Danio rerio: one gene and its partners. The protein of the gene in region 2 purifies or fractionates together with the protein of the main gene of each other region. This does not show direct contact. Links are inferred from orthologs where the notes say so. Each region holds a gene or a part of one and is shown on either strand. Other genes may lie near its edges. The genes, in order: arid1b, bcl7a and arid2.

Region 1 (3,656 bases), on a different chromosome or scaffold from region 2:
GTCCAGTCAACTGAATTTACCACAGGTGAACTCAATTAAGCTGCTGAAACATCTCAAGAATGATCAGTGGAGACAGAATGTACCTGAGCTCAATTTAGAGCTTCACCGCAAAGGCTGTGAATACTGATGTACATCTGATTTTTCAGCTTTTTATTTTTAATACATTTACAACAATTTTAAAAACTTTTTTTTACACTGTCATTATGGGGTATTGTGTGTAGAATTATAATCAATACTTTCCGGATGCACTGTATATATAATCACACTTATATATGAGCCCTTATGAAGGAGAAAATAGAGGCTAGTGCAGAGCGCTTGTGTGGTTTCTAGCGGATGCGAGCAGACTCAAGCAGAGTAAAGCCGTCCAGCCGGGGGTCCGAGCTCAAACCTACCCATACAGCTCAGCGTGAGGCTGCCCTTGGCCTTGCCCAGAACTGTAGTGAGGGTGATGGGGCTGAGGGAGAGAGAAGGAAGCTGGCGGCCGCCCCCCAGGCCCAGAAAGGCCTGGGTAAACAGGGGACCTGCCAAAAGGAGGCCTGAAGCAGGGGGAAGAGCATTAAAGTCTCCTTGGTGTCGGTTTACTTTCAATACAAATGACAACTCAAAAGTTTAGCGAGTAATTACACATTTTGGCCCCGTCCCAAATGCTGCTTTCAGCATTATTTGGTGACTGAATAATCCGTCAAGCGGAGGCCGACCAGTGAGAGATAAGCAGAATGATGTATTGAGGGTGCGAGTTATAAACAAGGACCGATCTGAATCATAAATGTTTATGCTGTGATAAAACAGTAATAATAGAGGTTACGAAGTAGTAAACGTCAACAAATAACGTTAAAAAAAAAACAGCAGTAATAAAAATATCTAAAGAAAAATATGAATGATATTATAGAGGTATGATTAAATGTGAAGTATTTAGACCAGGGCTGCCAAAGTTAACATGTTAATAATGTGAATTAATTTCATAGGCACTAATTTTAATAAAGTGTGATTAATCCTTGTGTATTGTTCAGATGGACTACCTTGGCTGCAGCAGATGCAATGATATTATGAACACCTAAAACGAGATGCTAATTGTCTAATCCAATTCAATGATTTATGCTATGCTAACCTAAGCTAATCGTTTCCACTGACTAGTATGGTACACAGTGCTACACAGTGCTGATCACCTTTATCAGGCTTGCGTTTCCACTGCCAAAAGGGTACCAATGGCGTGGTGTGCGACAGAAAGTTTCAGTCGACGTCATTCTCGCTCAAGGAACTCAATGTTAAAATGTTAGGCTATACAAGTCGTTAACATATCATAGGAGCACTTCTCACAACATGGAGGCTTAATACACATAAATACTTGTGTATAAATTATCATTACTGACCTTTAAATGAACATAACTTCATTAGAACTGCAGATCATTAGCTATGTTTCCATTTAAAAATTGGATTATCGCATAAAAGACGTGCGAATAAAGCAGTGTTTCCATCCAACGAGTCAAAGCGAACAAAATCGTCACTTCCTGGTTAATTGGCGCCAAATATCAACAGTAAAAACGGAATTTGCAGCAGTCAATCTTTTCTTCATCTAATAAATCACTTGCGCCTCAGAAGGCAATCCTGACACGCAGTAAACACATGGTGGCGTTTGAAGGTGTCAGATGCGGAGCACAGTCGCTCTTGATTCTGGAGGTCATTAATAATATAATAACACTAATACTTAAACAGTAAGGCGTTTTAGAATGAACGAAACAACATTGCAGATGTTTTATAATGTGCTTAGCCTGATGGTTTGTCCATTCATACACATTTTTATCATCACATGATTTCTTTTAACAAAATCACATAACTTTGTTTAATGCGCATAATGGAGTTTGTGCGGTAAAAGTGTTTCCATCGTAGTTGCGCATCTTTTTTATCGAATAAAAAGTTTATCCTACTCAGTTATGGGCATACGTTTTTATGCGCATTTTCGAAATTTATTCGCATCATGGCGTTTCCATCAACCGTTTTTTTATGCGCATATGCAAAATGCGCATAAAAATAGGTGGATGGAAACATAGCTAATGACAGTGCGGAATAGCCAACTGTAACATCTGCAATTATATAAAATAAATAAATAAATGCAACACCCATAAAAACAACATGCAACATATAGCCTAGCGTTTGTCCGTTTCTGAAAGGATCAGATGTCAGAACCACTTTAATAATCAGGAGCACGTTATTATCATCAGCTCAAGAAGTTCGTTATTACAAATATAGACACGTGGCGAGCTCTCTGGAGAAAGCGAAACCGCTCACACTTCTAGACGTATCTGGCAGATTTTGTTCTTCTTGGCTTTGTGGCTGTTCATCAAGGCAACAACAAAGTCTGTTTAAGCTTTGGTCGAACCGTTGCTTTGTTATTACATGTATATAGTATTATGGTTTAATGTATTTGTTTTCATTCTCCTGCTTATGCACAGGCTAGTAACGCTTCTCTGTAAATCAATAGTGTTTAGCTGCACGTCTAGCTCCACCTTTTGGTACCCTTTTGTCATGCTAGGTAGCCTTTGCAGAGGGTACCCAAACAGTGGAACAGTACAGTTCGATTTTTGGTACCTTTTGACAATGGAAACGGCTATAAAAGCTTGATGAACCATACTGTATCATACCGTACCACGCAGTGGAAACTTGCCATAAAAGTGCCTGCCCAAGACCCAGAGATCAGCTGAATGGAACAAAAACTGGTAAAACTCAACTATTAAAGTCTTGAAAAGCCGTAAATAAAACCTATTTCCCAAAACAAAAAATAAAACTGGAGTCAAGCTGAAGAAATGCATTTAATCGAAATTAATTAAGGCTCTGATTTACCTGGCCTGGCTCGAGGGGACGAGGTTCTGCTGGGCAGATGCAGGGCCACTCTCGTGGGGTTTGCGGCCAACGTTGGGTGGAGGTGGACCCATCCCAGGGCCAGCAGACTGAGGCATGTTGGGAGAGGTTGGAGCAACACTGCTGGAGCCCGCTGGGTACGGCCTGCCACCGGCCGCATGTCCTGGACCTCGAGCTGTCGTCATAGAGCCACAGGGTTGCCCTGGACCCTGGCCATGCATTGGACTGCTGGCATTCATGCCGAGACTGTTGCCCATGCCTGGACCAGGGCCACTGTAGTTGGCACCCGGTGCACCGCCATAATTAGCAGGACGCGGGTAGTTACCTAGGAATAAAACAAGTTCATTAAATGTAGAAGCAACAAATAAGGAAATATAATAAAATAAAAAAGTAATGCATAACCCCTTTAAAAGGTAAAATAATTCAACTTCAAGGACTAGTTCATCCAAAACTTAAAATTCTGTCATCATTTACTCCCCCTTTACTTTTTCTAAACTTATTGTTTAACAATAAAGAATATATTTTGAATATATTGAAAAACTTGGAACCATTGACTTCCATGACATTTCTTTTTCCTGCTTTGGAAGTCCATGGTTACAGGTTTTCAAATTTCTTCAAAGTAACTTCTTTTGTTTTCAACAAAGTACAGAAAGAAACTCATAAAGGTTTGACACCACTTGAGGGACCCCTGATAAAGAAGGGACTTAAGCCTGATTTATACTTCTGCGTCAAGTGACCGGCGTAACCCACGGCGCATGCAACGCGCGTGGCTGTGCATTTATACTTCTGCGCGCTGTCTC
Region 2 (3,756 bases):
TTCTCATTGGGGTTGAGGGCGGCGTGATTGTCCTCTGCCTAGAGCGGCAGTTCAGCTTGCTCCGGCCCTGTGTGGGAAGCACCAACATGTTTTATCATGCTAAATGCATTTTAAGGTTCTGTTATAATGCTGCTTTGTGAGCTCTAACAAAACACAAAACATGTTAAACATCTTTGGTGTTTCCCACTACATGTTTTCTATAAAACCAAACCAAGGGTGGTCAAGGGTATTTGACATAATTAGCATGGGAACACAGGACATGGTCCTTGTCACTAAAACTGCTTATTTCTTTGGACTTAAACATTTTTGAAAGCATTACCAGAAAATAATAAAAAATATATAACACTATGAAAAGGCGACACGGTGGCTCAGTGGTTAGCACTTTCACCTCACAGCAAGAAGGTCACTGGTTTGAGTGCCAACTGGGTCAGTCGGCATTTCTGTCTGAAGTTTGCATGGTCTCCCCGTGTGGGCGTGGGTTTCCCCCACAGTCCAAAGACATGCGCTATAGGTGAATTGGGTAAGCTTAATTGTCTTTTGTGTGAGTGTTTCTGAGTTTGTATGGGTGTTTCCCAGTACTGGGTTGCAGCTAGAAGGGATCCGCTGTGTTAAAAATATGCTGGATAAGTTGATGGTTCATTCCGCTGTGGCGACCTCAGATTAATAAAGTGACAAAGCTGAAGAAAATTGAATAAATTAATAAATGAACATGTTCATTTACACGTTCATCTTACATGTTTTGCCTTTACATTGTTGGTTATGTTTTGGGTTAAATCATAGGCAAGTGAATGTGCAAATTAGCGTCTTTGCTAATAATGCACTCACATATATAACCTCTGCAATGTTAAAGACTATTTGGCTAAAATACATTATGATTTTCAAAATGTAGCAATCTTTTGATCTCAACAAACGTTACTCTTTCTCCTTTCAGGGTCTCTGTTGGAAAGTGTGCTTCCAGCTGAAATCACCATGGACGCATTTGCCTCAGATATATTGGGCTTTTCTGTCGCCACCCAGGAGCTCCATCAAGAACACCACGGACAGGAGTCATAATATATTTACATTTCCCTGCTTATGTTCATGCGTTGTCAATAAGTAATGTATTTTAAAACAGATGGACTGTTATTGTGTGGTTAGCGAGCTGTTGTGTTATATGTTTGCGTTCAATTCTTTCGCATAGAGATAAAATCATACGAAAATAAAACATGTCGTTTGTCAACATGCTGTCGATTGAAGTCTCCATTTTTTCCAGATACATTTATAAAACGTGTGTTGATGTCGTGGTGCTGGTTTCGATTCGCTCGTCTAGCTCAGCAATCTGATAAAATATCGTTTTCTTTGCTCTGTTCGCCAACAAAGGAGCGAAACGCGTACCCGCATTGACCGTGTCTCTCATGCTTCGAGGGCATTTGGCTTCAGCGCAGGCGCACAAACCCCGCCTCTCTCCTGTGCTGTGTGCATTCGCATTGTGTCTAAACAGGCAGCGAGCAAAAAGATATTTTACCAACAGCAGTAATGTCGGGCAGGTCGGTTCGAGCGGAGACGCGGAGCAGGGCGAAAGATGACATCAAGCGGGTTATGGCTGCAATTGAAAAAGTGCGGAAATGGTAAGAGAGAGCGTCTATCCGTTAACGAACAGCACAGACAGCCTGTGGGGGAGGAGAGACACCGAGAAACAATGAAATGAAAGCGAAGAGAGCGTTTATTCCACTCCAATTTCACTCAGATGTACTGTTTCTGCGATTCTGCGCGCGGCTGCTCCTTTGTCGGCTGTGTGAAAACATAGTTTGGGAAAATGTAGATCGCGTTTTTTCTTCCATTAAATTTTTATGTGGGTTGAACCTAGAAGCCATTTCGTTGCAGTCACATGAAGGCTTTGCTGTTAGAGCCTGTAATGCCGGCTGAATAGTAACCGAACGGGCTGACATGAGGAAACTAGAGTGAACCGTCCGTACCGAACAGAAAGTGCCGGTGAACGGGCGTTTGACTCGTTCATCTCGTGTTGAAAGTGAGAGAGTCGCGCTTTGAGCGGCGGCGCGTGAGGAGAGTTTGATCCACGCGCGGGGTTTTAAACTCAGCCCTGAGCCGCAGTTTCACATACACTTTTTTACACTTCAAGCAACTGCTGGGGATTTCGTTTAAACTTAAGTTTAAGTTGAATTAAGGGTTTTCAAACCATGACAAATTATTTGTTGGACTAACAATAATTACCAAAACAATATTTATTCTATAAAAGTATACATGTTAAATGAGAAACAATCGTGTTTTTGTGGCAACGTGCGATTAAAATTGTACACATCTGTGAGCTAGTGAACTGCATTATTATTAGTATTTATTTTTATGATAATAATTATTTACTATTGATATCGATAATTTGTTCAGTTGCATATTCTGCAAATGCATCTTGCCTAAATAATGGCTCATCTGAGATTTCTTATGCCTCTAAATGTAAGTGATTTAGTGGTTTGTCCTCATTTGTCTGGCGTTTCCTTTGTCTTTGATATCTAACAATAACATGCATCTCCAGGGAGAAGAAATGGGTGACTGTTGGTGACACGTCACTGCGAATCTACAAGTGGGTACCAGTGACGGAGCCCAAGTCAGATGATGTAAGTGACATTTATTTACAATAACGCACAGCTGTTGCAGTTTTGATAACCTAATAATTATTGTAACATTATGGACCACAACCAACAAATTCATTTGAAAGTTGGAACAAAATAGTCAAGGTAAAATATGACGCAAATGACTTTTTAATGAGTAATTCTATAGTTATTATTTTTTTAATTTAGTAAAGGTAAATTAGTAGTGGTATTCGTTGAGGGGGAAACATATTTCAGTTGTAGCATAACACAGACCAGTATTATTGTTTTTAACAGAGATTAAATTCATATTTATTTTAAATAAAATAAGTTAACTAAAATGAGTCGTATTTAAAACAGACACAACATATTTTACTATCTTCTTCATATGCCTTGATTGCAATATGTATTTATGTCACACAGAAGAACAAAAATAAGAAGAAAGGCAAAGATGACAAGTATGGCTCTGAGGTCACGACCCCTGAGAACAGCTCCTCTCCTGGAATGATGGATATGCATGGTAAAACTGTACACCTAAACACATCTCAATGTTTTACCTTTTTCAAATTAGTATTACATGCAGTAGTCTTTAAACCAATTTATGTGAGAATTTCAAATTGTGTTCTTTGTGATCCTCAAACAGTTGGTCTAATATGCATGACTAAGATTTTGAAGTGTTACCTGCTTTTTATTAGAAAAAAATCATTATTATAATTATTAATGATGGCAGCTTTGAATGTGCATTTTTTCCTCTTAACCAATAGAGGGAGTTGATGAAACAGTTTTACTCTGTGAACTGGTTATTTGCTATGCTATTCCGACCTGTAACCACCTATTAACAGTTACAAATGCATGGACATTTTCAGATATTAAAACTTTTTTTGTTTCTATTTTTTTACCCACAGATGACAACAGTAACCAGAGCTCGATTGCGGACTCTTCCCCATTGAAGCAGGAAACCAGCAACAACACTAGTCCAGCACCTGAGCCCATGGCCGCTTCTCAGAATGACAGCAGTGACTTGAAAAACGACCAGTATCCTTCCAAACAGCCTTCATCTGGTCAGGATCATAAGAGTGGTTTGTGCATTGAATCCTCTAGAGGCTTACTATCCACTTGTCTGTGTTTTTGGTTTGTTTGTTTTAATGAAACCTTGTCATTATTTTCAGAACAA
Region 3 (3,656 bases), on a different chromosome or scaffold from region 2:
GGAGGAAGGGAGCAACAGAGGAGTAAATCACTACAGAATCTTACTTTTGTTTCGTTTTGAAGTGAGGACCGTAAAGTCTCTGGTGCTGATGTTTCATTCGTTATCTAGCTTGAAAAGTTAGCGTTAGATCGTTTTCCTTTAGAGCCACAACTGAGAAAATCAAACTGAGCTTTGGCACAGTGTCTGGCGCTGACCCAGAGAGAGAGAGAGAGCTCTAAGCAGAGCTCTTAGTAAGGGGTCGTCGGAAAAGACTTAACCTAACCTAACTTAACCCGCTGAGAAAGACGTGTCGTCATATCACAATTATGCAGCGTTTTAACCGCCTAATGCTTAATTTATGTTTTAGACATGTAAATACACACAAGTACTAGTAAAACAAGACATTTAGAGTTTGTCAAACACACAAAAAAGTCTAACAATCCATACAAATATAATTTGCTGATGTGTTTTATTCATATCATATACACATGGTGAAAGTTACTATAAAGTTGAATCTACTCTTCTCTAAGTACACCAGACACTTACTTGCAAGTATTTGGGGAGTAACTAGTGCATTTACGTGCTGAATCCTGCGTGTTCTGCCTTTTATGAATGAGGCAAACATGCGGCCACAAGTAAACATGAAGCTGATGTTAATTTCTCAGTTAATGCATATAAAGCACTAAAATCAAGTGATAATTTTATTAAATGGGGTTAATTACTTAATTTAGCTGTATTTTTTATTAAGTAAACTTTATAATATTGCTATTTCTAAATGTTTATTTAAATGCATTAACTAAGTAAAGTTTCCTAATGAGCCTTTAAGCCTGTTTTATATTTCTGCGTCAAGTGACTGGCGTAACCCACGGCGCATGCAACGCTGTGTTCCTCTGTGTCGAGTTTCTTCGCTGCTGTTTTGCTTTTCCTGAACGCTTCCTGAAATGTACAAGTGGCTCAAACTTGCTCATTTTGAGGCAGGAACCGGCGGCCGTGCAACAACTTTAACTATGAGGTAAACACAAAACTTTCCATCCGGAGCTCCTTCACAGGACTCACACTTGTAAACAATCGCTCCATCGGGGTCGCGCCATTCGCGCGGCTCTCGGTCCCGACCAGACCTGTCAGCGCTACCAAGCCGACCAATCACAGAGCTTGCGCTATGCGTTGTTGCGTCGTGTAGTTACATTTTTTTTTTTGAGAGGTGCACGTCAGCGACGCTGACGGCCACGGCATAGGGCTATGCGTCAACGCCGTAGTATCCGCGTCCGTTTGAGGCAGAAGTATAAATCCGCCTTTATTGTAAATTGTTTCCTGTTGTACTGAATAAACTTATTTGCAAATACTATCGTGACAACACTATGTACATGTAAACAGTCAACGCGATCCAGCAAAATAACCATGGTAAATGCTGGTCTGTAAACTCACTGTGAAGTCCCTGAACACGAGGTTCCTGGAGCCCCTGCGTAACGCCATCAGAGCTGCACTGGGGTGGTTGACGAGTGCTTTCGGGGGTCTGGGAGGAGGAGGAGGACTGCTGACCGCCGCTGGAGGAGACCTGCGCATCAACACAGTCAGATTATCACCACAATCATACACACTCAGCAGTCTCTGTGATATTAAGATGCTATACACACTTGGAAGTGTTGGGGTTGCTGCCTTGCGTTTGCTCCTCCAGTTTGAGTGCAGCTATGAGTGCTTCCCTCGAGCAGTGCTTATCCTGCAAAACACACACACACAAACAGATGCTCAAAACAGTGGAATAATTCAGATTATATTGTTTTGCTTTTCTTTTTAGACATTTCTGTGATTCAGGTTTGTCTGTGTAATGGAAGAGCAGAGCTTAATTTTAGCAAGAGGATGCATTTCCAACTGAATCTAAATATTGAGTAGGGGCAGAGTTTATTTCAGTATGATGACATTTTCAACTAAAACTGAATATTGAGTAGGAGGCGGAGTTAATTTCAGTATGATGATGTACTCCCAACTGAAACTGAATATTGAGTAGGAGGCGGAGTTAATTTCAGTATGATGATGTACTCCCAACTGAAACTGAATATTGAGTAGGGGGGCGGAGTTTATTTTAATATGAAGTATTTCCAACAAACTGAATATTTAGTAGGGGCGGAGTTTATTTTAATATCGTGAAGTGTTTCCAACTGAAATTAAATATTGAGTAGGGGCGGAGTTTATTTCAGTATGATGATGAATTTCCAAGTAAAATTGAATATTGAGTAGGGGCGGAGTTTATTTCAGTATGATGATGAATTTTCAAATAAAATTGAATATTGAGTAGGGGCGGAGTTTATTCCAGTATGATGCATTTCCAAATAAAATTGAATATTGAGTAGGGGCGGAGTTTATTTCTGTATGATGATGTATTTTCAACTGAAACTGAATATTGAGTAGGGGGCGGAGTTTATTTCTGTATGATAATCATTTCCAAATAAAATTGAATATTGATTAGGGGTGGAGTTTATTTTAGTATGATGATGTATTTCCAACTTAAACTGAATATTGAGTAAGGGGCGGAGTCAGAAGCTGAAGTAAAACTGCAAGCTTTGGATGTTTATATCAGTCTTATATATTCTACACGTAAATCGTCACTGTTTTGAAGCACACTAGATTACAGACATCCTTAAGACATCTTATTACTTTTATTTTAATTTCAAGGGCCTTTAACTATGGAAAAATATATGTCATTATTATCACTACAACAGAGGGTCAGGATCTTGCCTGTAGGTGTGTGATGAAGGATAATCTCTGGCGAGGAAAAGGTTCACATCCCTCCCATTGGCACTGCCCTGGGTATGAGTCTTTACTGCCATGAAGGGTCGCTGCATGGTAAAACACCTGTGATGGCGTGTCAAACCACCTGAAACAGTCACAGAAATAAAATCAGTTATACTGAAGCCAACATTTCTTATCTTAGCTAATATTCATTTCTTAGTTTATGCCAGTAAAACAACCCTTAAAACCAAAAGATTTTATTCAATCAACAAATTTAATTAATTGTAGCCAATTACTACTTTTTTGTTAAAACTAACATTAAAAAAGAACTATAATACGGCTATTATTCACATTGCGAAGTACATCCGTAAAGCATGCTTTCTTACCGTTTGCATGCTTGCCACAGACACTTAAAGTTCTGTCCAGGTTTCCGTGTTTGCTCTGGAGAGAGGGCGGGTGCTGGAGAACTCTGATTGGTTCCCTGTGCAGCCGGATCCACAGGAGGCGGAGTCTGCACTGACACAGGCTGCTGCACACACGAACAGTTATTTAATTTTAAAGAAGGCTTAAGGGAAAACTTCATTCAATCTAAATAAAATCAATGGGTCCTACATGATAATGATATTAAATGGAAAGCACAATATAAATGTACACAAGAAAGAAAACATTATCCCTTGCACAAATTAATTTGTAGGTGCACTGGTCAAGTCAAACATAGTTTCAAGTGTTGCATTTGTCATCTTCAATAGCTGTCAGTACCCTTGTGGTGCTGTATTTAATATTTTGTCATAATATTATGTTTAGTAAACATTTGTAGTCGACCATGAAAAACTGCAATACACACAGTATTATACATTATATGCATGTTAAGTAAACTGTAAATTGCTGCTGACGATTAACTCAGTGTAAAAAAAGTACAAAACAATTTTTTTTAGAAATGAATCAATTAA

The links.
Region 1: the proteins of bcl7a (region 2) and arid1b purify together in Homo sapiens (affinity purification with mass spectrometry; 4 studies listed by BioGRID and IntAct, counting the BioPlex papers as one, with this or other methods). This does not show direct contact. The link is inferred for Danio rerio from reciprocal best matches to the Homo sapiens genes BCL7A and ARID1B.
Region 3: the proteins of bcl7a (region 2) and arid2 purify together in Homo sapiens (affinity purification with mass spectrometry; 3 studies listed by BioGRID and IntAct, counting the BioPlex papers as one, with this or other methods). This does not show direct contact. The link is inferred for Danio rerio from reciprocal best matches to the Homo sapiens genes BCL7A and ARID2.

Annotation. Positions count from the first base shown.
Region 1 is NC_133195.1:5,084,667-5,088,322, forward strand, and holds part of arid1b (AT-rich interactive domain-containing protein 1B), read right to left. Parts: intron 3,182-3,656; coding exon 2,839-3,181; intron 537-2,838; coding exon 393-536; intron 1-392. UniProt on the Homo sapiens protein: Involved in transcriptional activation and repression of select genes by chromatin remodeling (alteration of DNA-nucleosome topology).
Region 2 is NC_133180.1:42,613,634-42,617,389, forward strand, and holds the start of bcl7a (B-cell CLL/lymphoma 7 protein family member A), read left to right. Parts: upstream 1-1,450; 5' UTR 1,451-1,515; coding exon 1,516-1,607; exon of another isoform or gene 1,608-2,446; coding exon of another isoform or gene 2,447-2,448; intron 2,449-2,527; coding exon 2,528-2,609; intron 2,610-3,005; coding exon 3,006-3,102; intron 3,103-3,487; coding exon 3,488-3,643; coding exon of another isoform or gene 3,644-3,661; intron 3,662-3,751; coding exon 3,752-3,756. Other genes in the region: cfap251 (cilia- and flagella-associated protein 251), read left to right, coding at 932-1,053.
Region 3 is NC_133179.1:1,979,036-1,982,691, forward strand, and holds part of arid2 (AT-rich interactive domain-containing protein 2), read right to left. Parts: intron 3,236-3,656; coding exon 3,093-3,235; intron 2,852-3,092; coding exon 2,713-2,851; intron 1,697-2,712; coding exon 1,614-1,696; intron 1,535-1,613; coding exon 1,405-1,534; intron 1-1,404. UniProt on the Homo sapiens protein: Involved in transcriptional activation and repression of select genes by chromatin remodeling (alteration of DNA-nucleosome topology). Required for the stability of the SWI/SNF chromatin remodeling complex SWI/SNF-B (PBAF).